Linked DNA regions of Arabidopsis thaliana. Each later gene encodes a partner of the first gene's protein in a complex. Each region holds a gene or a part of one and is shown in the gene's direction. Other genes may lie near its edges. The genes, in order: EMB1467, CI51 and AT4G02580.

Region 1 (9,996 bases):
CCTGATGAAAGACATACTTCCTCCATTAAAGGCTATATAAGTAGAAATGGTTAAAATGATTGTAAGAGTCTAATATATATAACTGACCGGAAAGCAATACGTGTTGGTTTGTAGACAGTCCGGTAGGTCTGAGTATCGCGATAGGCAACAAAGAACTGAAGAACAATATCGACCAAGAACGCGATCTGACCAACAATGTCAAGTACAAAGAGTCTCTCAGGCAGACCGCGGAAGAAACCAAACTCCATGGGAGTGAACAATGAGGAGTATATTGCCCACACCAATATAAACATTTCCCATGCCTTGTACCACCTGATCAATTTCTTCTCACTTTTCATTAATTCAGGTCTAATCAAAGATTCTTGAAAATGTAAAGATTGTGGCTTATACTTGATTCGTCAAATTGGTAATGTAGCTAAACGGAATCGTGGGAAGGAGACAAATGAAAATAATACTATAGTTATTAGTTAAGTGCAAGCAACAACGTTTTAAATTTTATTTGTTTAAGATCGACATAGCTGGACTAAGTTGAATATACATTTTCACTAGTATAGTTTTGTTATTTTATAGTTAATGTTATTATGCTTAGAAGAACAGGTGGATGAAATATCCACGTGTGGCCTCTGGTTACGGCAGCTTTAGTGGAACCAATTAATAATCCGATCTTCGATGATTCTGTCACAACGCATAATTACTAATATAACCCTAGTGAAACATTTATGGGAGTGTAACAGTATCCTCTAGTGGATTCAAGTTGTTTAACGTAGTATTTTTTTTTTTATTCCTGGTGCAATTTAACGTAGGATTCTATTTAAAGATAGATTTAAAGTTTTTCCTTGTTTTGGTCGGAATTTGGTTTTAGATTTAAGTTTTAAATTTTCAATAGGTCGGCTGCAAATAAAACAAATGCTTAGATTGAGGTGATCAGTGGACAACGAAAGAGAAGAAATATATCACAAGGAAGTGTCCCACCAATTTCTTTTTTCTTAGTAAATAATAATGAAAAGAATATCGACAACAAAATCACCTGATTAGCATCTAATATCTACTTTTGATAAGTGATGAAGATTATTCATCTAAATCCTAAGGCTATTAATGGATGATACGAATTAAGCGATTAGACCATTTTATTTTTAGAGCGAACAATAAATTCTGTAGACCAAATTCACTTTTACGTAAAAAAGATATATCGTTAGTCCATTGTAGACGGATTCTATTTTTATTATTTTGTATTACTATAAATTATACTTTATGAACGGTAAATAAAAAGCAATCCAAACTGTAAACGGATTTGTCCATTCTAATTATCGTAATTTTTCGAACCTTAAATCATTTAGTTGTTTTAAAAAATCCTTGACATAAATATTAATATTTAAACTAGATTGAAGTGATACTAATATTAGATTAGATTGGTGACACAGCCTTAAAAATGAGCAGAAAGAAATAACGATAAGAGTTTTAGTGATTGATAATTATTAAAATGGTGAATTTTCTATTATTGTATTATTCGAAGTTAAAACTAGGGAGACAAGTTTTTGAAGTGGTATGGTGAATAAAGTTTTTTTCTGAAGTTACAGAAAAAAAAACAGAAGATATTTTGAAGGTTTCAAGAAAAGTATTTTCTACGTATTTATCTCCCGATAGAAAGGAAACTCTTCAAGTGCATGATGAAGAAAGAGAAAAAAGAAAGAACCTGTTTTTGGGATGAATGATGTATTTATAATCATTATGACCATCGGTTTCAATTCTCCGATGCTCTGATGAATCAAGCCACCGAAACGTCTCGGCTAAACTGAGTTTTCCTCTTCTTGATGAAACGTCGTCGTTTGATTCCTCTTCTTCATGATCTATTATCTCTTGCCGTCTCCGGAGACGTCCCATGTTTTCAAGAATCGGTTAAATGAAATCTCCGGCGATCTCTTCGACACAAAGATCTAGAAAAACAGAGTTTAATACCCGATTCAACTCTTGAATCTGACACTCGAAACTTCGTCTTTTTGGTAGAAGATAGATCTTGTAATGTTTTACAAGTTGAAGAGAAAAGGCGGGAAGATCACGAGAGCTGCTTCTCTGTTTTTTTCCAAATTATTTTTTGTTTGGTCTTCTTTAGTTCTTCTTTCTCGTGATGTTAAAGCTATATTGATTTTGTTTCTGTCGAGAAACTACTGTTTTTTTTTTGTTTGGTTTGGACTCTTTATTAGTTGAAGTGTATAACGTAAGGTTTTGTCTAGAAGGACCGAATTTATATAGGACATCAGAACATGTCGATTGTCGAACATATATCATTGTTTTTTTAATATAAAAAATCTCATCTAAATTAAAATTTGGAATTGAATTGTACGAACGGCTAATAAAAATTTACCAAAAGATTACGATGCTCCAAATCTGGATGATGATTCCCTAAACCGGTTTTTGTGAATCATTTCTAGCATAATCGAATTTAAGTTAATCTGGACTAGTGTACTTGAACATTCACGGGGTAAGTGGGGGAGTTATTTTTTTTTAAGACAATAAATCTGTTGTAAATTGATGTACTAGTTATAGACATTAATGGGTGTGTAACAGCATTTCCTATATGTTTAACGTAGGATTTCTGTTTAAAGTAAAATCAAAATTTACATCAGGTTTTGAGATTTTTAGTTTTAAATTTTCCAAATGGTCGGCTTTGTATAAAACCAAGAGAAGAAATTAAATATACACGAATATGAGGACGTGTCCAGAAAAAGAAGAATATCGACAATAAAAATCACCTAATTTGCATCTAAATATTGACTTTCATAGTACGCTAGAGATAATCAGTTCATCTTCACCTTATTCTTTGCATTGTGTAAAAGAGAGATTATGCAGAGTTTCCTAGTTGACGAGAATGAGATAGCAGAGATATTTCTTGTTTTCGTTTTGCACTTTAGAGGTACTACCTTATCGAGTTGTATGAATATGATTGTCTTGCTTCTATTTTTTTTTTTCATTTTTGGCTTTGATTGAATAAAGGTGAGAATTTTTATTTATTTTTCGCAAAGTATTTCCTTAAAATATTAGTATTTCGGTTTAGATTAGAACAAATACGAGACGATAAATAGTTTGATAACAAAAAGCTATATATGTTGTGTTTCATATCTTATCAACTCGGTCACATCCTCTTTCCATTGGATGCAATTCTTTTTCATAGAAGAACCACTAATTCTTTTTTTTCTTTTGCCATTAACCCAACAATTTTTATTGTAGTTAGTGGTTCTCCCTTATGTTTCTTTGCCTTGGAATGTAATCACTCTGTTTTGACAAAAAAAAAAAAAGAAGGAATGTAATCACCCTGTTTGACAAAAAAAAAGAAAGGAATGTAATCACTCTGTTTGACAAAAAAAAACAAGAGAGGAATGTAATCACTCTTAAAGTGATCTATAACAATTTGAAAAAGTGTCATATTTATTAGCTATAACTTATAACTTTATAAGTTTTGAATGGATGCAGTGGACAAAGCGGTATACTTTGTATGCGGTTTAATCTACCTTATTTTGAGGCGGACAATAAACCGCTGTGGACCAAGTTTATTTATATGTAAAAATAGTTCGTGGATGATTCACAGATGATCTGTTGCGGTTTTCTTCTTTTTTTTTTGTCCGGACCACTGTGCACTATAATTGATTAATGGTAAATAAAAAACAGTCTGATCCGTTGATGGTTTTGTCCGCCCGAACCGCCGTAACCATTCAAACCCATAATTAAAATTATAACGAATTACTATGTAAATTTATAACTAAAACTATCAAATTAAACGAGTTAAATTATACTTATCATGTCTGCCTGTAATGATAAGATAATATATATCAAAGCTTATGAAACTTCATTTTTTTTTTTTTTTGGTTGTCATTGCAAAGGTTAGATTAATAACAATATCACTGATAATGATGCTTACACGTAAACCTAAACAAACGAGGAAAATAAACTAACTCTTACACGTAAACCTTAACCGATGCAGCATAGGTGTTGACAATATTTTCTTTCCTTTTATTTAAATAGACGACGTTGAGATGTTTAAAATTGTCATCATTTATAACCATATTTTAAGTTGTCTTTATCTGAAATATACAAATGTTCAATTAGTACATTGACCTAAAAGTCTCTAGGACTAATGATTGATTAGAGGTTTATTTTGCTAGAGGTTCTAATATGTTGTATGGAACTAGAAGCAAGATTGTTTTAAACTCAATGTCATTAAGTGAATTAGAGAAAGATCATCAAAACTCTTAAACTATATCTCCCAAAATTAACTTAATTCAGTTTGAAAAGAAAAAGCCCACAAAGCCCAAAACTCACTCATTCATAAGCCAATTATAATATCCAAAATAAAAGCCCATAAAGCCCAAAACTCACTCATTCGTGTCTCCTTCTCTCTCGCACAAATGCTTCAGGAGTTCTCACAACAAGATCGAGAAATACACACATAGAAGACGAAGAAGAAGAAGAAGACGATACAGATCCACAACGCCATGGGTTTAGGCATCTTAGCTTCTCGAACAATTCGACCAGCTTCACGTCTTCTTCAATCTCAAACCTCCAATTTCTTCCTCCGCACAATCGTCTCAAAACCAGAGCTCCAATCTCCTGAATCCGCTGCTGTCTCTGAGCCTGAGCCGCCGACACAGATTCTCCCTCCTAGAAACCCTGTAGGTGGAGCACGCGTCCACTTCTCGAATCCTGAAGATGCGATCGAGGTCTTTGTCGATGGTTACGCGGTCAAAGTCCCTAAAGGATTCACTGTTCTTCAGGCTTGTGAGGTCGCTGGAGTTGATATCCCGAGGTTTTGTTATCATTCTCGTTTATCTATTGCTGGAAATTGCAGGATGTGTCTTGTTGAGGTTGAGAAATCTCCTAAGCCTGTAGCTTCATGTGCCATGCCTGCGCTTCCTGGTTAGTTCGATTCCAGGAAAATTTCTATGCTGATGGATTGATTTTGATCGTTGATTGGTGGAATATATTTGGATTTGGTGCTATTGCTAAGAGTTTTTGTAACAGGGATGAAGATTAAGACTGATACACCGATAGCTAAGAAGGCGAGGGAGGGAGTGATGGAGTTTTTGTTGATGAATCACCCTTTGGATTGTCCTATTTGTGACCAAGGAGGAGAGTGTGATCTTCAGGATCAGTCTATGGCTTTTGGATCTGATAGAGGACGTTTTACTGAGATGAAAAGATCTGTTGTTGATAAGAATCTTGGTCCTCTTGTGAAGACTGTTATGACTCGGTGTATCCAGTGTACAAGGTTACTAATATAGTTTGCTTATAGTGTGATGTTTTAGTTAATGTGATAGATACGCTATCCTGTTGATTAGGTTTTGTATGTATAATGTTTTTGTAGGTGTGTACGATTTGCTTCTGAAGTTGCTGGGGTTCAGGATCTTGGTATACTAGGTCGTGGTAGTGGAGAGGAAATTGGAACTTATGTTGAAAAGCTTATGACCAGTGAACTCTCTGGAAATGTTATTGATATCTGTCCTGTTGGAGCCTTGACCTCAAAGCCTTTTGCCTTTAAAGCCAGAAACTGGGAGTTGAAAGCAACAGAAACTATTGATGTTAGTGATGCTGTTGGGTCCAACATCCGTGTTGATAGTAGAGGACCAGAAGTAATGCGTATCATTCCACGCCTGAATGAGGTATGTAATGCTTTTGTTCAAAAACACTATTTTTAAAAGTATTTTGCTGGATGTTGAACTTGTGAATGTTCTTATTCAGGATATAAACGAAGAATGGATATCTGACAAAACCCGATTCTGTTATGACGGCCTGAAAAGACAAAGGCTGAGCGACCCTATGATCCGAGATTCCGATGGACGATTCAAGGCAGTGAGCTGGCGTGATGCCTTGGCTGTTGTGGGTGATATCATTCATCAGGTGAAGCCAGATGAGATTGTTGGAGTAGCAGGTCAGCTATCTGATGCGGAATCCATGATGGTACTGAAGGACTTCGTTAACAGAATGGGCTCAGACAATGTATGGTGTGAAGGAACAGCTGCTGGTGTTGATGCTGATCTTAGATACAGTTATCTGATGAACACTAGCATCAGTGGACTTGAAAACGCCGATCTCTTCCTTCTCATCGGTACCCAGGTGAGATTTCCACCCTGTCTTTTTTGTATGGTTTCTGGTACCGGATTAGACAGACCGCTCTGTATTTGGAACAATGACATAAGAAAAACCAAATTGTGTAGTTTGATACTTTGATTTAGTGGTGTGGCTTAAGGTTCTGTGCATAATTTGGAATACAGAGGCAAATAGAAAGGAGAAACAAGCAAAATTAAGTTTCTAAAAAACAGATCAGATGTTAACATTTCGCTTGTATTGAATATTCCTGATCCAGACCAATCTAGATCAAGCAAAACTTGCTCTTCCAGATATCAAAGTTGTGAAGGTTTTTTAGCAGTACATTCACCAGTTTTTGTCTATTTTTACCAGCCTAGGGTGGAAGCTGCAATGGTGAATGCTAGGATCTGCAAGACAGTCCGTGCATCAAATGCCAAGGTTGGATATGTTGGTCCACCTGCAGAGTTCAATTACGACTGCAAACACCTCGGGACTGGGCCTGATACTCTCAAGGAAATTGCTGAGGGACGGCATCCATTCTGTACGGCTCTCAAGAACGCCAAAAACCCTGCAATCATTGTTGGTGCTGGGCTCTTCAACAGAACTGATAAAAATGCTATCCTCTCTTCTGTGGAGTCCATTGCACAAGCCAACAATGTTGTCCGACCAGACTGGAACGGTCTCAACTTTCTCCTTCAGTATGCTGCCCAAGCGGCTGCTCTTGATCTTGGTCTCATTCAACAGTCCGCCAAAGCCCTCGAGTCTGCAAAATTCGTCTACTTGATGGGAGCAGACGATGTAAATGTTGACAAGATTCCTAAAGACGCCTTTGTGGTTTACCAAGGACACCATGGAGACAAAGCGGTTTACCGTGCAAACGTAATTCTCCCTGCATCGGCCTTCACTGAGAAAGAAGGAACCTATGAAAATACTGAAGGATTTACCCAACAGACTGTTCCAGCTGTTCCAACAGTTGGTGATGCAAGAGATGACTGGAAGATTGTGAGAGCCTTATCCGAGGTCTCGGGTGTGAAGCTTCCATACAACTCAATCGAAGGTGTTAGATCAAGAATAAAGAGCGTTGCACCAAATCTAGTCCACACAGATGAGCGAGAGCCAGCTGCTTTTGGGCCTTCATTGAAGCCTGAGTGCAAGGAGGCAATGAGCACAACACCGTTCCAAACCGTGGTTGAGAACTTTTACATGACAAACTCGATCACAAGAGCATCAAAGATCATGGCGCAGTGCAGTGCCGTGCTCTTGAAAAAGTGAGAGCTTTAACTTGGGTTTTCACATTTTCTCTCTTTTCGCAAAAATAAAGATACTGATTCTTCGTTTGCTGTCCTCTTTATAGACCTTTTGTTTAAGCCTGAGTATCACTGTATCTCGGGTTTAGCTTGCGGTGAAATCTATAAGCAATTTGCAATAAGCACATTGTTAGATTCAAAACTTTGCAGTGTTAATTGGATGCTTTGTGGCATCTTGTATTGTTCTTATTAGGACTCCCTTTTACATTTGCATATATGAATTTGGAGGCATGGCGATATATACAATCTCTACTTTTATCGTTTGTTCTTAACCATTGTGATTGTTACAAATAATGCAAATCTTGAAAGGATTAGATGGTTTCCAATGTGAGATGATCACTTGTGAACTAAACTGTTTTTGACAAGTTATGTTACCTAAAATCATTTCAGTTTCAACTTTGTGATTGGTCATAAAGAAAATTTCAGATAGATTATGAAAGACAATCACAAGTAACATATAAATTTATTTTAGAAAAACTTACCTAAACCAATCAATTTTTTTTTATAGCTGGGATAATTAATCCATCCAACTTTTTTTATCTTTCTCAAACAACCAACTTTTTATTATCAAATTGCTTTCTTACTGATTAGGTCTTATATCTAAAAGTATAATATAAGCAAAAAAATTATTTAATTTAATTAATTTTAAATAACCTGTTTTTTTTTTTTTTTGAACTTCAACACATTGTTTATTGGTTAAAATCCATGCTAAATGGATAAGATTTTTTTGATACATGTCCAAATCTTGTTGACCAATAACACATGTAAAAAACATTTTGTTAGTTTTTTTTGGGTAAGAATAATTAGTATATGTAAATATTCTTTTAATTAGTTTTTATTTTCTGTAAAAGAAAACAAAAAAATAAAACAGTTGTTGATATCTAATCGAGAAAGTTACCCGTGTCGCAATCATGTGAGTTACTAATTTTGAAAACCAAAGTTTATATAATAAAATAATTATACCAAGTTAAGTTCATAAGTTAGTAATCTAGATTTACACATTTTTATACAGATACACAATACATGTAATAACAATAATCATGTACCATAACACTTAATAAAAAAATGAGTTAATTATATAGTTCAAATTTTATGAAAAAGAAATCATGTGTATCTAGAAAATATTAATGTTATTTATATTTCTCTTTATCTCATTTATTTTGATATTATTATATAAATCTCTCTTTACTCTTTGATTGCCACTCCAACCTTATTTCTTAGAGAATATGAAATTAAGTTTTCCAGGAAAGTTGTTCTTCTTGTTAGGTTATATCCTATGTTTCAGCGATATATCGAGTTTCAATAATCATTTTGTGGATGCAGAAACATTGCAAAATTTCACCTCATTTGAAATGGAAGAACAACTTAAAGTCATCGACGAACATGCAGCTAAAATCATCAAAGTCCGTTTAATTTCATCTTATTTTCTTAGAGCTGCACTCGTTACCTTGATTTATACATATATATATATATATATATATATCTGAATTTTGTAGAGATATGTGAAGTTTACAAAATATTTTATAATCTACTTTTTGTTTATGGATGATAGACTACACATGGAGATACATATGAATGTGTGGATTTTTACAAACAACCAGCGTTTGACGATCAGACCATGAAAAATCACTTGCTCAACTACAAAGTATATAATAAATTGAATATAAGTGAATCTGATCATTATTTATCACTAATACAAAATTCTTTGTAAATGTAGATGCATCAGATATCATCCCGTAAAAATTCAAGAACAAGAAAAATAAATGACAAAAAATTTGGTTTCTTGTGGGAAAATGGTGTAGGGTGTCCCATTGGTACCATACCCATACAAAGAGTCACCAAAGACAAACTTTTGAGATTAAATTCGTATTCCAACAAATCTAAGCCCCAAGGTTCTTGGAACTTCACTTATAATCAATATAATGTCGAACATCATGTAAGTAGTACCCTTCCTTATGTTTTATAAGATGTTTTAACTATTTTTTTCTTATGGTATAAGTTTTAGTTATGTAAGAAATATAAGTGTGTTTTAATTAATTACCTTTAAAATTCTAAATTATTGTTGTTAGAAACAAATTAATTTCAAAAATGTAAATATAACTTTTTAAATCTCCGTGCAGTCATCTTTATAAAAAGATACAAAATATATAATTTTGTTATTTTGCTCAATATATAGAATTCTATTAAATTCAAAATAAGAGTTGATTATGCATGGTTATGATGACTAGTTTGCAGTTGCTCGAACCAAGAGAGGAGAAAAGAAAAGCTATAGTGGAGTATCGATGGCTATTTCTGTACATGATCCTGAAGTTAGATCTCCGCAATTTAGTTCTTCTCGTATGCACGTTCAGATTGGAGACGATTTTATTCAAGCTGGATGGACTGTAAGTTTGTTTCAACATTTTATGTTTAATTAGAGTTGCGGCCTAAAAGTATAAAAATATAAATCATAATAAATTGGTTTTATTATAAATACTTAGAAATATACTACACTTAGTTTTAATATTATTAACATAAATCTATTAAAATTTCAGGTAAATCCGGCTTTATATACTGACATGCAACCACGAAGTTATGTTTATACGAAAGTAAGTTTATTACTTATATATCT
Region 2 (9,996 bases), about 12 Mb from region 1:
AGACCAATCAATTTCATTGTTTATCTTCATTTGGTTCACATGATATCTGCATCTCATATTTGGACGTTATGTTGAACCTTTGCCTTGATACATACTAAAATATTTTATTTGACTTTGCAGTCGTCCGCTGCAACCTCTTGTGGATTGTACTCTGACACTTAGAAGAATTCTCGAGAAAAGGCTTGGCTCAGGACTGGACGATGCGGAAACCACTGGTCTCGCCCGCAGATTAAAGAGAATACTAGTCGAGCTCCATGAACATGACCACGCCAGGGAAATTGTCAGAACATTCAATCTTAAGGAGGCAGTTTGACCAAAAGTTTATTGATGGGAAACTGGAAAGTCAACACAGAAATCTTTAGCCTCAGGTTATCAGGCTCACCTTTCGGGCTGTACCAGCAAAGGCTCATCGATTTCAACATCGAGGATTACAAGATTTTCCCTAGGATTATTAGGCTAGCACCAAAACCTTCCGGAATCCATTTTCAGACACAGAAGAGTTTTAGTACTTTGGCTTAATGTAAGTGTAACCTCTTGTGGTTGTAGAAAACCTTATAATAAATATAAGCTAAAGTATCTCGAGTCTTTTATTTTTCCCTTTATATCTGTATGAGTTTAGATTTAGCAAAGACAATATTATTTCTATGAATATAAGCCCCAACTTGTATTGCTGTGCTGCACTATAGATGCAGTTAATTTGTATTACGAGCTGTGTCATGGTTTTTTGCAAAAGACAATTTCTGTTGGAATCAGACGTCTTCTGCTGTAAACAACACAACTTGGGGTATAAGTCAAAGAACAGAAGAAGAAAACCCCCTTTGGAAAGAATCTACTGTTGAAAGTTGGTCGTTGAACAAACATCTTAGGAAGTGGTGTTAGAGTCATCTTCTTCATTTGAATCTTCTTCTTTATCCGAAGAAGACTCCGCAGTTTTCTCAAATTCCACCATTTTCTCAAGTGCCTCTATGTCTCCAGCTTCAGCAAGAGCGTGTATCCGCAGCTTCTCTGCGTCTTCACTGAAATGTTTTGTAGAGATGGTCAAGTAAAAGGAACATTGTAAAAGCATAAGAATAAAGTTAACATACTCTGTAACGCCGAATATTTCCTTGACGATTAAGGAGTTGTCTTTTGAGCAGAAGTCAGGAAGCTGTTGAAGAGAGAATGGAGTTAGAAAATCTATCACACATCGAAAACATTGTATGCATATTTGACTTCAGGATTAGATCAACGAAAATGTTGAAAGAGTAAGCAGATTCTCTCAAGTACAAGTAATGTTTCCACATTGATTACCTCAGAAAGATAGTAAATCTTTCCAAAAAGCGCTTGCACGGCGAGTTTTCTCTTGAATCCTTTTTCGGTAAAGCCTTGCATTTTCATCACTACCGGACCTGCCAAAATCAAATATGTCAAGAGCAATAAAGAAGAGACTGCCACAATAGAGAACCTTAACAAAGTTTTGGTTACCTTTTTCCTTGACAATACGACGAGAGATCTCATTTAAAATCTCAGGAATCTGAGAATCATTCAAACCAGAAGCTTTTCTTAGATGAATGAGATCAGCAACAAGGTCGGGATTAAACGGTTTCTCATTCAACGCATAACGAATGTATTTCCGCAATATCTCCTCCATGTTAAACTCTGTCTGGATTGTAGAAAAACAAAATTCAGCATCCTCATGTCAAATTCTGAACTGGAAATGATTAAGAGATCAAACCAAAAGATTAGTGACATGTTATATATATTCTCACCTTTTGTTCAAGTGCCTTAAGCTCAGAGCTATGCACTGTTCCAGCTTTCCTTAATAGCTCATCTATAGATCTGCAAAGCATAGCATTCTGATTCACCTGAAGAGATTCAAAAAACCAAAATTGAATTAGTTTTTTTTTTTTTAAGTAAGGATCACAAAAGAGAGAGTGGAATCAGAGACCAGTTTCTTGCGCTGAGCTTTAGGAGAAGAGAACTTCTGAACGGTTTTGACGAAAGCAGTGACGAAAGTGACGCCGGCGTAAGCTAACGGAACGGCGAGCATCCACGGCAATTTGCTACTTCCAACTCGAGGACCAGGAATCGCCTGACTCACCGATCCAGTGAACTCGACTAGGTCTAACGCCTTCTCTTGAATCCACGGCATATCTTCCTCTACTTCCTCTTCTGTTTCCTCCTCCACGCTCGAATTCTTCTTCGCTGCCGGTGTCGGCGCCGTGACAGTCTCCGATTTTTTCTTCGGCGCTGCGGCGGAAATAGAGATGTGTTTCGGTCTCAACTGACGGAGAGAAGGTAGTGGTGCGAACAGTGGTGTTAGAGGGAGAAGGAATGGTTGGCCATTGTTTTGGGTTCGAGTCTGGAGAAATTGAGATGAAGGAAGGAGAAGAGACGTCATTGTTGAAGCTCGACGATTTGAAAAGTCGGCTTCGGATGCGGCGGGGCTCAACAGTAGTTAGCTTGTCGGGGAACTACGACGGAAGGTGAAGGAAGAAGATATAACAATTTCTATTTATTTGAAGGGGTCATTAATGGGCCTTTTTTACTCGGCCCATTTATTTTAACTATAAACGATCATCAAATGGTTTTTAACAAGAAGAAAAAGTGAATTCAGCAGACAGCAGACATAATAACAAATGGATTAATTACCCACACAAGCTAGAATTTTTTGTTACTCCCATGTTAAATCGGATTATTATCCCAAATTTAGTTCACAATATAAAGTGATTTGGTCATGCTAAATGCATGGGTACCAATGCAAGGCACATGAACATACACTTTAGAAACTTGCTAACAAAAACCTTTACTTGAAGTGTCTGCATTAACTTCATTTTCTTTTCCCATTTTCTAAAGGTATAAGGTTGAGCGCATGATTCTATAACTATTTTTCTTCATTGATAAGGCAATAGAACAGAGTTATTCTAAATTTGCAGTAAATACAGAAGCTTTTGGAACATTCAGGTCAATAAGAAGTAAAAGAATAAAACCTAGTTATACATTATCGGGCCAGAACTCCCTAAAGAAGGCTCGTTCAAATTCTTTTTCCTGTAAATGTTTTTCGTGCTCCATCATCTTCCGCATTTTCTTCGAAAGTTTCTTACTCTGCTTTGAGACTTCTTCATCCTGAAAATTTTAGTAAAGAAAAGATAAGTTTCGATGCCTAACTTGAAAACAAATGAAACATAAAAGCTAATGGCAACGTGATAAGCCAAAAATCAAGTCCAGCACTATTGAGATATGAAGTGTCGCTGATGCAGACTTTCAAAAAATAAAATCAGATGAGACTCTTTATCAATGCCTGAACACTTCTTCATCATTAGCTATTTTCAGATTTAAAGGCTATCGCATGTAAGGGTTTTAAGAAACAAGACCTTAGCCTGAGGCTGAGCCACTTTTCTCTTAGCTGGTTGTTTAGCTCCCACTCCTCGTTTGTTATGTTTTGGCTCTGCTTGTAGAGGCACCAATATACCCTGTTCAGCGATTCCAAGACCAGTGCCTTCCTTCCAGCCATGCTTCTTTAGGAGCTGAAACCCAATGTTGGACGAATTTATAGCAGCCAATGAACTGCTTGATCCAGAGGACTCACCCATAACGCTCGACACCTGAACATGTTAACTCACAATTGTCAATAAAAACAAAAGGAATGCACATTCAGTTCTGCTTACTTCTTGTAGTCTATTCAATTCACAACTAGAAACAGACCCAAAAGTTTCCTACCACTGAACAGTAAACAAAATGTTAATAGGTTAAATGCAGCACAAAATAGAAGAGATGCATCCAGAAATGAGTTATACCTGAAACCTATTAGCAGATTCAATGACAGCCCATGAACTTGTCGAAACCGAGGAATCTCCCATAAGAAATCGAAACCTAAATACAATGAACCAACCATCAGAAATATTGTTATCATCTAAATTCAGGGTTCAATTAAAGCCAAACACAAGAATTCGCTTATGTTGATTATTTCCTGGAATAAATTAGAGCAAATTTCACAAACCATGAGCCTGAATCATCAAAATATTAAGATAATAATAGATAGACGGAACTCACCAAAAACGTGAAACTCAAGCAGTCACCGAACAAAACGAGACCAATGAACCCTAGAATCACCGAGACGATCTGATGAAAACTGAGTGAAAATCGCTTCAATCTCTTCCTCTCTCTATCGAACCACCGCCTTTGCTAATCGCCGGCCTGTAGCAGTTGGATCGTCTTACGGGAACTGAGAAAATTATAAAAAGACGCCTCTTATGTTTCTAAATGCTAATTGTTCCCAATACTTTATAATTATTTCATATTCGACCCACATATTTTACGTTTATCGAAGTTTAGGATAGTTTCATACCGGACCAGAATATTTGGGCCTGGACCAAGAGAGGCCCATAAAATAGAGAGAAGCTTAACGTCAAGAAGACGCGGAGTAATCTAAACCAAACAGCTTATCTCGAGTTCGTCGGTCTCAGGTGGGCAGTGATTATAACTTCGTCTCCGTGTCTGTTCAAGCTCCCATTCTTGTGGCCTTCACGCTTCAGGAACAAAGACCAGTATCTCTCTGAAAGACTACTTCTCGGAAATTTTCGTCTCCATGGTAAGCAATCTCTTTTCGCGCACTCACTTTGATGATCTCCGTTTTCATTTCTAGGTTATACGATTTTCTTCTCGATCGCATTTGTTAGGGTTTTCAAAATTAAGACTTTGAGTGTATTTATCTTGAATTCAGCTGAACAATTTCAAAATGCGGCATCTTCTTATACATAGATCTAGCGGGTTATGATTGATCTGGTCGAGCTTATCGATTTAGAGCGATTGGGTTTATTCACCTGCTTTTGTTGGTTTTGTTTGGTTTCCTAATGTTGAAACAGCGATTTTATACGCGACACTTAACTCCTGTATCATCAATTTTACTGATTTCGTGCTTCAATTTTTTGTATGCTTTTAAAGTAGATCATGTGTTACTTTGAGTTAATTTGCCATTTACCGTCTTTGTTATATGGATTTGATGATAGGCACCCGTGAGGGGGATTCTTGGCTTGCAAAGGGCAGTGTCCATTTGGAAGGAAAGTAACAGACTGACTCCAGCTTTGAGATCATTCAGCACTCAAGCTGCATCCACTTCCACCACTCCACAGCCTCCTCCACCTCCTCCGCCTCCGGAAAAGACTCATTTCGGTGGTCTCAAGGATGAAGATCGGATTTTTACTAATCTCTATGGTCTGCATGACCCATTTCTCAAAGGCGCGATGAAGAGAGGTGATTGGCATAGGACCAAAGATTTGGTGCTCAAGGGTACTGATTGGATTGTCAATGAAATGAAGAAATCTGGACTTCGTGGACGTGGTGGTGCTGGTTTCCCTTCTGGTCTTAAGTGGTCCTTTATGCCTAAAGTTTCTGATGGCCGTCCCTCCTATTTGGTTGTCAATGCTGATGAGAGTGAGCCTGGAACTTGTAAAGATAGGGAGATCATGCGTCATGACCCTCACAAATTGTTGGAAGGGTGTTTGATTGCTGGTGTTGGAATGAGAGCTAGTGCTGCGTATATTTACATCAGGGGTGAATATGTGAATGAGCGTTTGAATCTAGAGAAGGCTAGAAGAGAAGCGTATGCAGCTGGTCTCTTGGGGAAGAATGCATGTGGTTCTGGTTATGATTTTGAAGTTTATATCCACTTTGGTGCTGGTGCGTACATTTGTGGTGAAGAGACTGCGCTTCTTGAAAGCCTTGAAGGGAAGCAAGGAAAACCTAGGTTGAAGCCTCCGTTCCCTGCTAATGCTGGTTTATATGGTTGTCCCACAACTGTTACCAATGTGGAAACAGTGGCTGTTTCGCCTACCATTTTAAGGCGTGGACCTGAGTGGTTTTCTAGTTTCGGTAGGAAGAATAACGCTGGGACAAAGCTCTTTTGTATATCAGGCCATGTAAACAAGCCATGCACGGTGGAAGAGGAGATGAGTATACCTCTCAAGGAACTGATTGAGAGGCATTGTGGAGGTGTTAGGGGTGGATGGGACAATCTACTTGCTATCATCCCTGGTGGTTCATCTGTTCCTCTGATCCCTAAGAACATTTGCGAGGATGTGCTGATGGATTTCGATGCGCTCAAGGCTGTCCAATCAGGGTTAGGAACTGCAGCAGTCATTGTGATGGATAAATCAACCGATGTTGTGGATGCAATTGCAAGGCTCTCTTACTTCTACAAGCATGAAAGCTGTGGGCAGTGCACTCCTTGCAGAGAGGGAACAGGTTGGCTTTGGATGATCATGGAGAGAATGAAAGTTGGCAATGCAAAGCTGGAAGAGATTGATATGCTGCAGGAGGTAACCAAACAGATCGAAGGACACACAATCTGTGCATTGGGTGATGCAGCTGCATGGCCTGTGCAAGGTCTGATAAGACACTTTAGGCCAGAGCTCGAGAGAAGGATCAGGGAACGCGCTGAAAGGGAGTTGCTACAGGCTGCTGCTTAAGTACCTTGTTAACCAGAGGTTTGCATCTCCAGTCCTTGCTCTTTTAATCTTCTGTTGCAAACTTAAAAGCTGAGGTCTAGAGTTTACGCAGCCTTTTAGAATGTATTTGTGACAAGGTAGACTGCTCTGTATCTAATTTCTTTGGGCATTTCAAGAACTTGAGCCGTAATGAACAGTTAGTTTCCGTAACTATCTTTCTGCTCTATCCCTGTCTTACAAAATTGATGTTTTTGCAGGGAGTTTGCTATTATTCTCCATGGAAATAAAATCTGAATGAACAACTAGTAACGGTTTTGGGATGCAAAGCTACTTCAGAAGGAGAAGAAGGTAATGTAATTTGTTTGAATGGTTAATGTTAAAACTCTCTTAAAGTTGTATCAGAAAGAGCGCGATTTGCTCTTTTGCATTACTCTACTTTCTTTATTGTTTGCTTGTTATGTTTATTCGAGTATGAAAGCACATTTTGGGAACAACCAAAGAAACCCTTTTCATGTTTGAAATAAAGAATGCTCCTTTTTGGGTTTATAAGTAGTTCACATAGCAAATAAATTATAAATCAATGTTTCTTTTTGGCATTTTCTGAAAAATATCTCTAGGATATAAATTGGTATATCATTGTTCTGTATACAACTTGATATGATAGTCCAAAATTAGTTTTTTTGGATAATGTATAACCAAAATGTGATTAGTCCCAACTTGATTTCGTAAAATCAAACAAAGTAGAAATCATCTTAAAACTATAAACTAGAAATTTCTAAATGGAATAACTTAAAGAATAAAATGAAATGGAAGTGATATATATATTCGCATTGAAATGGAGAAAGAGAGAAAAAGGAAAAGAGATAAATGAAGGCAAGGAAGACCTGTGAGGGTGATGGGGACCGGTCTGATTGGATATTATTTTTGGAGGATATTTATGGATAAGACGTCAACATCTTCCCTAACTTCTTTGTCCACCTCTCCCACCTTTTTCCCCCCTTTTCCAATTTCTTTACTTAATCGATAGAACTACTGAATCAACAAGTTGTTGTATGATGAAATTACATAATCACATATTTGCATAACTCGGAAAGTCGTCATATAGGCAATTAGCATCTTTGTTGTTTTCGATTTTCGATATGAGCTTAAGTTTGAACAATGTTTACAAATAGTTTGATATAGTATTTCATTGCCTTTTATAATCACCGTACAAATAATTATTATTCATCAATGATTGCCTCCCCAAATGTCACCAAAAGAAAAATCTAGTCACATGCGAAAGCATTATGAAAGTGAAAAAAGAAAAAACTGATATGAAATTACCAACGATGAGGAGTAGCAGTAATAAAATACATATGGCATAATTTGGTCAACAAGGAAATTCCAATATGAATTGGAAGTGTAACAAATAATAAAAGAGTCAACAATACCAAAAATAACAACAGCGGACTTGAGCTGTGAAAACTGTTGCTTATGGTTTTTATTCACTGTTTCTTTGTTTTGAACTTCCCCTTCCTTTAACAATGGCGTTTTGACCCCTCCCTATCTCTCTCTCTCTCTCTCTCAGTCTTCTGGGTTTTTCCTATTCCTCTTTCTCTCTCTCTCCTTCAAGTTGCTGCAATCCCTTGAAAACCCAATAAACCCCCAATTTTCCATTTCTCATAAAGTTCACATTTTTCCTTCTTCTTCTTCTGCCAATTCTCTGATTCCCTCGTTTCAATCTCCGTTTTGCTTTGCCTATCAGATAAATTTCTTCTTGCTTTCCTTTCTATCTCATAACGATAAGTTGAATTAATCTTTGCGTCTTAGTTCATCAGTAGAGAGAGTAGGGTTTTTTCCGCTTATTTTTAGGGAATTTCATTTTGTTGGAGGTGAGAATCTCTATTCGAGTCCCCAAGATTCTCTTTATATCCCTAGTTTAGTTGTATGGTTGGGTTTTGATTGGAATATCAAGGGGTAGTTTTTAGCTAGGTTCACTGATACTTGGAAGATCTGAGTTCTTTGGGATTCTGTTAAGTTTGTGGAGATCTAAAAGACACGAAATTTGTAGAAATCTGGTTGATATCCCAGACTTTTAGAGGGATTAGGGTAGATTCTATAGAATTTGAGGCGGGTTTGATTGGAATTATGACGGTGGAGGAAGTTAGTGATGGTTCTGTGTGGAGTAGGGAGGATGATATTGCCTTTGAGAGAGCTCTAGCCAATAATACCGATGAATCAGAGGAACGGTGGGAGAAGATTGCTGCAGACGTTCCAGGCAAAAGTGTTGAACAGATTAAAGAACATTACGAGCTTTTAGTTGAAGATGTTACTAGGATTGAATCAGGATGTGTGCCTCTTCCTGCCTATGGGTCTCCTGAAGGATCGAATGGCCATGCTGGTGATGAAGGAGCAAGTAGTAAGAAAGGAGGTAACAGTCATGCGGGAGAGTCTAACCAAGCAGGTAAATCAAAGTCCGATCAAGAACGACGAAAGGGTATCGCGTGGACAGAAGATGAGCACAGGTGAACTTTGTTTATTTTTGCTGCTAATCAGTTTCTGATTCTTCTTATTCTTTTATGATTCTTTCCAAATTATGTTTGTTCTGTGCTCCATGTCTTCATTGTGTTCTAGAACATTAATATTATTTCTCTTAAGTGACAATTTTGGTACTCTTGGGTGTCTAATTCTGTGAACCTTTAAGACATCAAGAGTTTTCAAAGTCATACTGTAGTTAGAAGCAATACCTTCACTGGAACTTTTAGGTCCTTGGTCTCCTATCTGATACTTTAAATTAAAAAAGGATGAATTGAGTTTTTTTTAGGGGGCACTGACCCGAGGTTACTCTAGAGGATGCTTGAAAGAAAAGTAGAGATTTCTTGAAGTGGTTTTAGTTTCGTGATTGTTTTAAAAGTCTCAGATGTTATTGGAATTATAACTTGGCATGGGACAGAGAAAGCTGTTCTCATAAATTCGCTTTACCTCCCTGTCCTAGTTGCTATATCATTACATCCACCATGTTAGAGATGATGGAGAGATGCTATCTAACCCCCGGGACCATTTTGACCATCTTTTTCCACCACTTGTTGAAGCTAGATGCTGTTTTACATGGTGAAACAGTCCATCCAACCTCTGTTATTGGAGGAACCCCACCTTCCTTTTAGAAAGAGACAAAAAAATCTTACTTTGAAGTTTAGTCTTCATTTTTCTCTCTTGAAGATGCAAGTGGTTTTGGGACCTTATTAGGGTAGATAAGGCGTAAAAACTAGAGTTAAGTATATAATGGTTATATTAGTGGCATATAATTAGTTACTGGACTGTTTTCTCACTTGCCAAAGATATGGGAAACTGATGTAACAGTAAAATCTATCTTTGTTGATTGAATGTTTTGCTGGGAGAGTTAAAAAAAATGCTTATCTGTCTGATTGAAACCTTTAAAAGAGATTCTTACACCATTTTTATAAACTTGTGTTTTCGCCATTATCTTGATCTACTCCCGTGTCATCTTGATAATTTGGTGGTTTACATGTGCTTTTTCGAGAAATTGGATTTTGGCGGTGATAGAAGAACCTCCTGGACAAGAAATCACGAG
Region 3 (4,172 bases), on another chromosome or scaffold:
ACCAGGTACTGTATGTTTCTCAGAAAATACTGATATATATTTTCTATCTGTAAACGGACTCTGATGCCACGTTCTCTGTCTCTATAGGCTGCTGTGCTTCTACTCTTTAACACAACTGACAAGTTAAGTTACACTGAGATCTTGGCTCAACTGAACCTAAGCCATGAAGATCTAGTTAGGTTGCTTCATTCCTTGTCATGTGCTAAGTACAAGATACTCCTTAAGGAGCCAAACACCAAGACTGTCTCCCAGAATGATGCCTTTGAGTTCAACTCCAAATTCACCGATAGAATGCGCAGAATCAAGGTTTGTGACGTTAATAGTAATACTCAAAAGTCTGCAAGTTTATGTCATGTTTTACATATTGTTAATAACTAACATCAACTTGGGTGATTTGCGTCACAGATCCCTCTTCCCCCAGTTGATGAAAGGAAGAAAGTCGTTGAAGATGTCGATAAAGACAGAAGATATGCAATTGATGCTGCCATTGTCAGGATCATGAAGAGCAGGAAAGTATTGGGACATCAACAACTTGTTTCTGAGTGTGTTGAGCAACTTAGCCGAATGTTCAAGGTAAATTATACATATAATTATATTTATACAGAGACATTTGAAGATGCACGTGGTGATGAAACTCATTGGATTTGTGATGTTTGTTGCAGCCTGATATCAAAGCGATCAAGAAGCGTATGGAGGATTTAATAACCAGAGATTATTTGGAGAGGGACAAGGAGAATCCTAACATGTTTAGGTACTTGGCTTAGGGCAAAAAAACAACAACTATGGAAGTGGTTGGCTCATGAAAGGAATCTGCTTGTATATTTAGAAGTCCATATGGAGACTGTCCTAAAACAAATTTATCGCTTCATTTTCGCTATTTTTCTCTTTTAAAAAATATTCGGTCTGTGCTTTTTTTTTGGGATGCAAATTTGCCTTGTGGATTTTTGTTTCTTAAATATTGAATGGAGATGGAGAAATGGCCTTAATGAATGAATCTCTGCTTTCTAATATATTTATCCTTGATCATATTATTTAAGTTTTATGTATCTCTGTGTTATATTGACGGATGGGAAAGTCGTAACAAATAATATGAGATTTCTTATAATCGAACGCTAATGAGACAAAGATGAACCGACGGAAGGTGCCTTCCTCAATCGCCGAACATTAAAAATCATTGTAATCATCTACGTCATTAGCTATAGTCCACCAGAACCGTAATAGTTTCTGCTTAGGACCAATGTCTTATATTTTAAGCCGTTTTTCTGTTGTATGATGATCTGAAATATTATTGGGATACAAAGACGGGTATGTTAAGGTTAATAACAATTTTGAACGGGTTAATGGTGGAGCTGGTGGATTATATTACTTGATTCCAATGTGCTTTTTTCTTTCTTTTTTGGGTTAATATGAATTATGAACGGATCATCAAAGACGATATTTGGAGCCTACACAGAGAATGATATATACGACATGGAGAAATTCTGTTCATATATGTTTTGAGGTGCGGAGTCATTTTACTCCATCGAGCAAATGTTTCTCACTTTTTATTTGCTTGAGATTCTGTTAAACAAACAAAGAATCATGCCATTGCACTATGATGAAAAAGCTGCGAGGAGATGTGCAAATTATAAGAATCAGCAAATTCCAACGGGCTTCAAGTATTACATGTATGGGCCTTTAATTAATAAAATGGGCCTTTAAAGCTACTCGTATGTATCAGTCCTAAACCAAAAGTAATAGACCAATAATGAATTAAAGTCAGGCTTATTTTAGCAGGCCCATAGAGGCTATAGTCAATCCTGCGCCAGGTGATAGTGAGATACCGAGTCTAGCTCCTTGGTTTCTCTGCTTCTCCTTCTCTCTCAGATCAAAAAAAACCTTCGTGTGCGTCTCTCGTCCTCTAAATTGTCGAAAATGCTGGCTAGGCTCGCTGCGAAGCGTCTTCTCGAGATCCGTCAAGTTTTCCGTCAACCAACCTCTCAGGTATTCTCTAATTCCTTGCTTCCTCTCAGCTTCTCTCCGGTCGTTTCCCGATCTCATTCTCCGTTTTGGTCATTTCTATCTACAGGTGACTCGTAGCTTATCGACGGCCTTAAACTACGTGAGTGTTGGATATTCTATCTGATCTATGCTTCAATTTTGTCTAATTTTATCCGAAATTAATTGTAATTTGATTTTTGTTGTTGTTGTTGTTTTGATTACTTATAGCATCTGGATTCTCCTGATAACAAACCCGATCTTCCATGGGAGTTTTCAGAGGCTAACCAATCTAAGGTCAGTGAATAAAATCGCTTCTTAATGTGATAATGACGAAAATTTACAGTTTTAGTGAACGCATTGGGGATTTTTATCCAGTACGGATTCGAATTCGTTTTTGTGATGTTTACAGAATATCTAGGGAATTGTGTGACATGTTCGTAATGGTGGAATTAATTTATACTCTTTCGTGAAAATGTTGGAATCTTTAGCCCTCGTTCCCTAATCTTTAGCCCTTTGTTTGACCCTAGTTATAACTAGTCCCTGTCTCCTGATTATGAATTATGGTTCTCTTAGTTAGCATTCTACCAAAGGATATTAAAAGACAAAGACTGGGATTTTCTGATATTTTTGATTGCTTATTTGTTGTTACATATTTAGAATCGGCTATTCTGGAACTGATTTAAGGGAGAGACTTAGAGTGAACGACCCAAATGGCCAACAGATTTGAATCTGCTAGTGTGGCAGAAAGACTGTCCAGAAATTAGTAAACCGGTTTCATTGTAGTTTAAATCCTAATACTTTCTTGTGCATTTAGTTCCAGTTTACTGTATCTTTCATTTCTGGCTACAGTAATCTTGCATTAACGGTGAAATCGATTTCCGCATGCATCCAGACTTACTGAATTGTTATGTCCAAAATGTGTAGGTTAAGGAGATTCTCTCTTACTATCCATCCAATTACAAGCAGTCCGCAGTTATTCCTCTCCTAGATCTTGCACAACAGCAGAATGGAGGCTGGCTCCCTGTTTCAGCAATGAATGCGGTATGTCTTCTAAGATTTTTTTGTTCGATTTTCTCTGTTAAGACTTAATTTTATGTACTTCTTAAGTTCTTTTTTGGAATACAACATTCATTGATATGATTTTACCGTCATAACAATGCAACAAACTTTTGCAGGTTGCTAAAGTTATAGAAGTTGCCCCTATCCGTGTTTATGAGGTTGCAACATTTTACTCAATGTTCAACAGAGCAAAGGTAAGAAGTACTTTCTACCCCTAAACTCAAGTCTCTACTGTACTCAATGAAAGACGCATTGCAGGCTCATTTTTCTTTTGCTCTTACAGGTTGGAAAGTATCACCTTCTAGTTTGTGGCACAACACCTTGCATGATCCGTGGTTCACGAGACATCGAATCAGCTTTGCTAGACCATTTGGGAGTGAAACGCGGTGGTAAAGCTCTATGTGCTTCCTTTCATAACCAAAATCATATGGAGGTGATGATCAGTCATAACGATCTTTGGTCTTAATGTTTTTTGTGCAGAGGTCACAAAGGATGGTTTGTTCTCTGTTGGAGAGATGGAGTGCATGGTATGGATTTTGCGTCACCTCAATTCATTAATCCATGCAGAACAATAACCAAGATTAGTACTTTCACATGAAAAGATTCAATGCAGATCTAATGTGTTTGGTTTTGTTACAGGGATGTTGTGTTAATGCACCCATGATCACTGTGGCTGACTATTCCAATGGATCAGAAGGATATACATATAACTATTTCGTATGTCAAATCTCGTTGAACAATTTTTCTTTTTCTCCTGCATTATCCTATTGTTTATGTGGGTTACGTCGGAAGAGTGAAATCATACTTACACTGTCTTATGCTACAATACACAGGAAGATGTTACACCTGAGAAAGTCGTAGAAATTGTTGAAAAGCTGAGAAAAGGAGAAAAGCCACCGGTAAGACATTAACAACCCATTGCATTTGGATACTTTCCTGATGTTCTTCTCTTACTATTGCATTACATCGGTGGGGGAAAACAATCTGGTTTCGGTTAACTTTCCAAATTGGAGAACGTAGCCTCTAAGCCAAAATCCAAATCCAAAATCCAAATCCAACTTCTTATAATGTTAATCTTTGTTTTTCAGCATGGAACTCAGAACCCGAAGAGGATCAAGTGTGGACCAGAAGGA

Evidence for each region.
Region 2: the proteins of EMB1467 (region 1) and CI51 are in contact, whole or in part, in a cryo-EM structure (PDB 7AQR), measured with the Arabidopsis thaliana proteins. Residues at the interface, in NP_568550.1 of Arabidopsis thaliana: Gly115 (codon at 4,830), Asn116 (codon at 4,833), Cys117 (codon at 4,836), Arg118 (codon at 4,839), Leu121 (codon at 4,848), Lys129 (codon at 4,872), Pro130 (codon at 4,875), Ala135 (codon at 4,890), Met136 (codon at 4,893), Pro137 (codon at 4,896), Lys153 (codon at 5,049), Ala154 (codon at 5,052), Glu156 (codon at 5,058), Gly157 (codon at 5,061), Val158 (codon at 5,064), Glu160 (codon at 5,070), Phe161 (codon at 5,073), Leu162 (codon at 5,076), Met164 (codon at 5,082), Asn165 (codon at 5,085), Arg194 (codon at 5,172), Phe195 (codon at 5,175), Glu197 (codon at 5,181), Met198 (codon at 5,184), Arg200 (codon at 5,190), Ile219 (codon at 5,247), Gln220 (codon at 5,250), Ile239 (codon at 5,403), Gly241 (codon at 5,409), Arg242 (codon at 5,412); in NP_196470.1 of Arabidopsis thaliana: Gly225 (codon at 5,658), Ala226 (codon at 5,661), Gln243 (codon at 5,712), Lys245 (codon at 5,718), Leu248 (codon at 5,727), Pro250 (codon at 5,733), His399 (codon at 6,180), Glu400 (codon at 6,183), Ser401 (codon at 6,186), Cys402 (codon at 6,189), Gly403 (codon at 6,192), Gln404 (codon at 6,195), Cys405 (codon at 6,198), Thr406 (codon at 6,201), Pro407 (codon at 6,204), Arg409 (codon at 6,210), Glu410 (codon at 6,213), Gly411 (codon at 6,216), Trp414 (codon at 6,225), Met417 (codon at 6,234), Ile418 (codon at 6,237), Arg421 (codon at 6,246), Met434 (codon at 6,285), Glu437 (codon at 6,294), Val438 (codon at 6,297), Lys440 (codon at 6,303), Gln441 (codon at 6,306), Ile442 (codon at 6,309), Gly444 (codon at 6,315), His445 (codon at 6,318).
Region 3: the proteins of EMB1467 (region 1) and AT4G02580 are in contact, whole or in part, in a cryo-EM structure (PDB 8BED), measured with the Arabidopsis thaliana proteins. Residues at the interface, in NP_568550.1 of Arabidopsis thaliana: Val203 (codon at 5,199), Lys205 (codon at 5,205), Val225 (codon at 5,361), Ser229 (codon at 5,373), Gln235 (codon at 5,391), Asp236 (codon at 5,394), Leu237 (codon at 5,397), Gly238 (codon at 5,400), Ile239 (codon at 5,403), Leu240 (codon at 5,406), Gly241 (codon at 5,409), Arg242 (codon at 5,412), Gly245 (codon at 5,421), Glu246 (codon at 5,424), Glu247 (codon at 5,427), Gly249 (codon at 5,433), Thr250 (codon at 5,436), Tyr251 (codon at 5,439), Val252 (codon at 5,442), Glu253 (codon at 5,445); in NP_567244.1 of Arabidopsis thaliana: Asn33 (codon at 2,096), Tyr34 (codon at 2,099), His35 (codon at 2,209), Leu36 (codon at 2,212), Val90 (codon at 3,004), Met93 (codon at 3,013), Ala103 (codon at 3,177), Ile105 (codon at 3,183), Arg106 (codon at 3,186), Tyr108 (codon at 3,192), Glu109 (codon at 3,195), Thr112 (codon at 3,204), Phe113 (codon at 3,207), Tyr114 (codon at 3,210), Ser115 (codon at 3,213), Arg119 (codon at 3,225).

Annotation. Positions count from the first base shown.
Region 1 is NC_003076.8:14,893,003-14,902,998, forward strand, and holds EMB1467 (NADH-ubiquinone dehydrogenase), read left to right. Parts: upstream 1-4,407; 5' UTR 4,408-4,487; coding exon 4,488-4,908; intron 4,909-5,013; coding exon 5,014-5,260; intron 5,261-5,356; coding exon 5,357-5,651; intron 5,652-5,730; coding exon 5,731-6,105; intron 6,106-6,450; coding exon 6,451-7,346; coding exon of another isoform or gene 7,347-7,350; exon of another isoform or gene 7,351-7,432; coding exon 7,433-7,445; 3' UTR 7,446-7,645; downstream 7,646-9,996. Other genes in the region: GORK (gated outwardly-rectifying K+ channel), read right to left, coding at 1-1, 88-312, 1,694-1,881; AT5G37520 (NEP-interacting protein, putative (DUF239)), read left to right, coding at 9,668-9,769.
Region 2 is NC_003076.8:2,756,298-2,766,293, reverse strand, and holds CI51 (51 kDa subunit of complex I), read left to right. Parts: upstream 1-4,274; 5' UTR 4,275-4,567; coding exon 4,568-4,570; intron 4,571-4,988; coding exon 4,989-6,446; 3' UTR 6,447-6,464; intron 6,465-6,682; 3' UTR 6,683-6,977; downstream 6,978-9,996. Other genes in the region: ILP1 (GC-rich sequence DNA-binding factor-like protein), read left to right, coding at 121-313; AT5G08540 (ribosomal RNA small subunit methyltransferase J), read right to left, coding at 863-1,016, 1,086-1,147, 1,291-1,388, 1,465-1,642, 1,749-1,844, 1,928-2,380; AT5G08535 (D111/G-patch domain-containing protein), read right to left, coding at 2,974-3,105, 3,354-3,584, 3,777-3,839; AT5G08520 (Duplicated homeodomain-like superfamily protein), read left to right, coding at 8,553-8,929. UniProt on the Arabidopsis thaliana protein: Core subunit of the mitochondrial membrane respiratory chain NADH dehydrogenase (Complex I) that is believed to belong to the minimal assembly required for catalysis. Complex I functions in the transfer of electrons from NADH to the respiratory chain.
Region 3 is NC_003075.7:1,132,672-1,136,843, forward strand, and holds the start of AT4G02580 (NADH-ubiquinone oxidoreductase 24 kDa subunit), read left to right. Parts: upstream 1-1,757; 5' UTR 1,758-1,914; coding exon 1,915-1,983; intron 1,984-2,068; coding exon 2,069-2,101; intron 2,102-2,208; coding exon 2,209-2,274; intron 2,275-2,904; coding exon 2,905-3,021; intron 3,022-3,155; coding exon 3,156-3,233; intron 3,234-3,322; coding exon 3,323-3,428; intron 3,429-3,519; coding exon 3,520-3,566; intron 3,567-3,678; coding exon 3,679-3,756; intron 3,757-3,872; coding exon 3,873-3,938; intron 3,939-4,127; coding exon 4,128-4,172. Other genes in the region: CUL1 (cullin 1), read left to right, coding at 1-5, 88-306, 406-573, 663-764. UniProt on the Arabidopsis thaliana protein: Core subunit of the mitochondrial membrane respiratory chain NADH dehydrogenase (Complex I) that is believed to belong to the minimal assembly required for catalysis. Complex I functions in the transfer of electrons from NADH to the respiratory chain.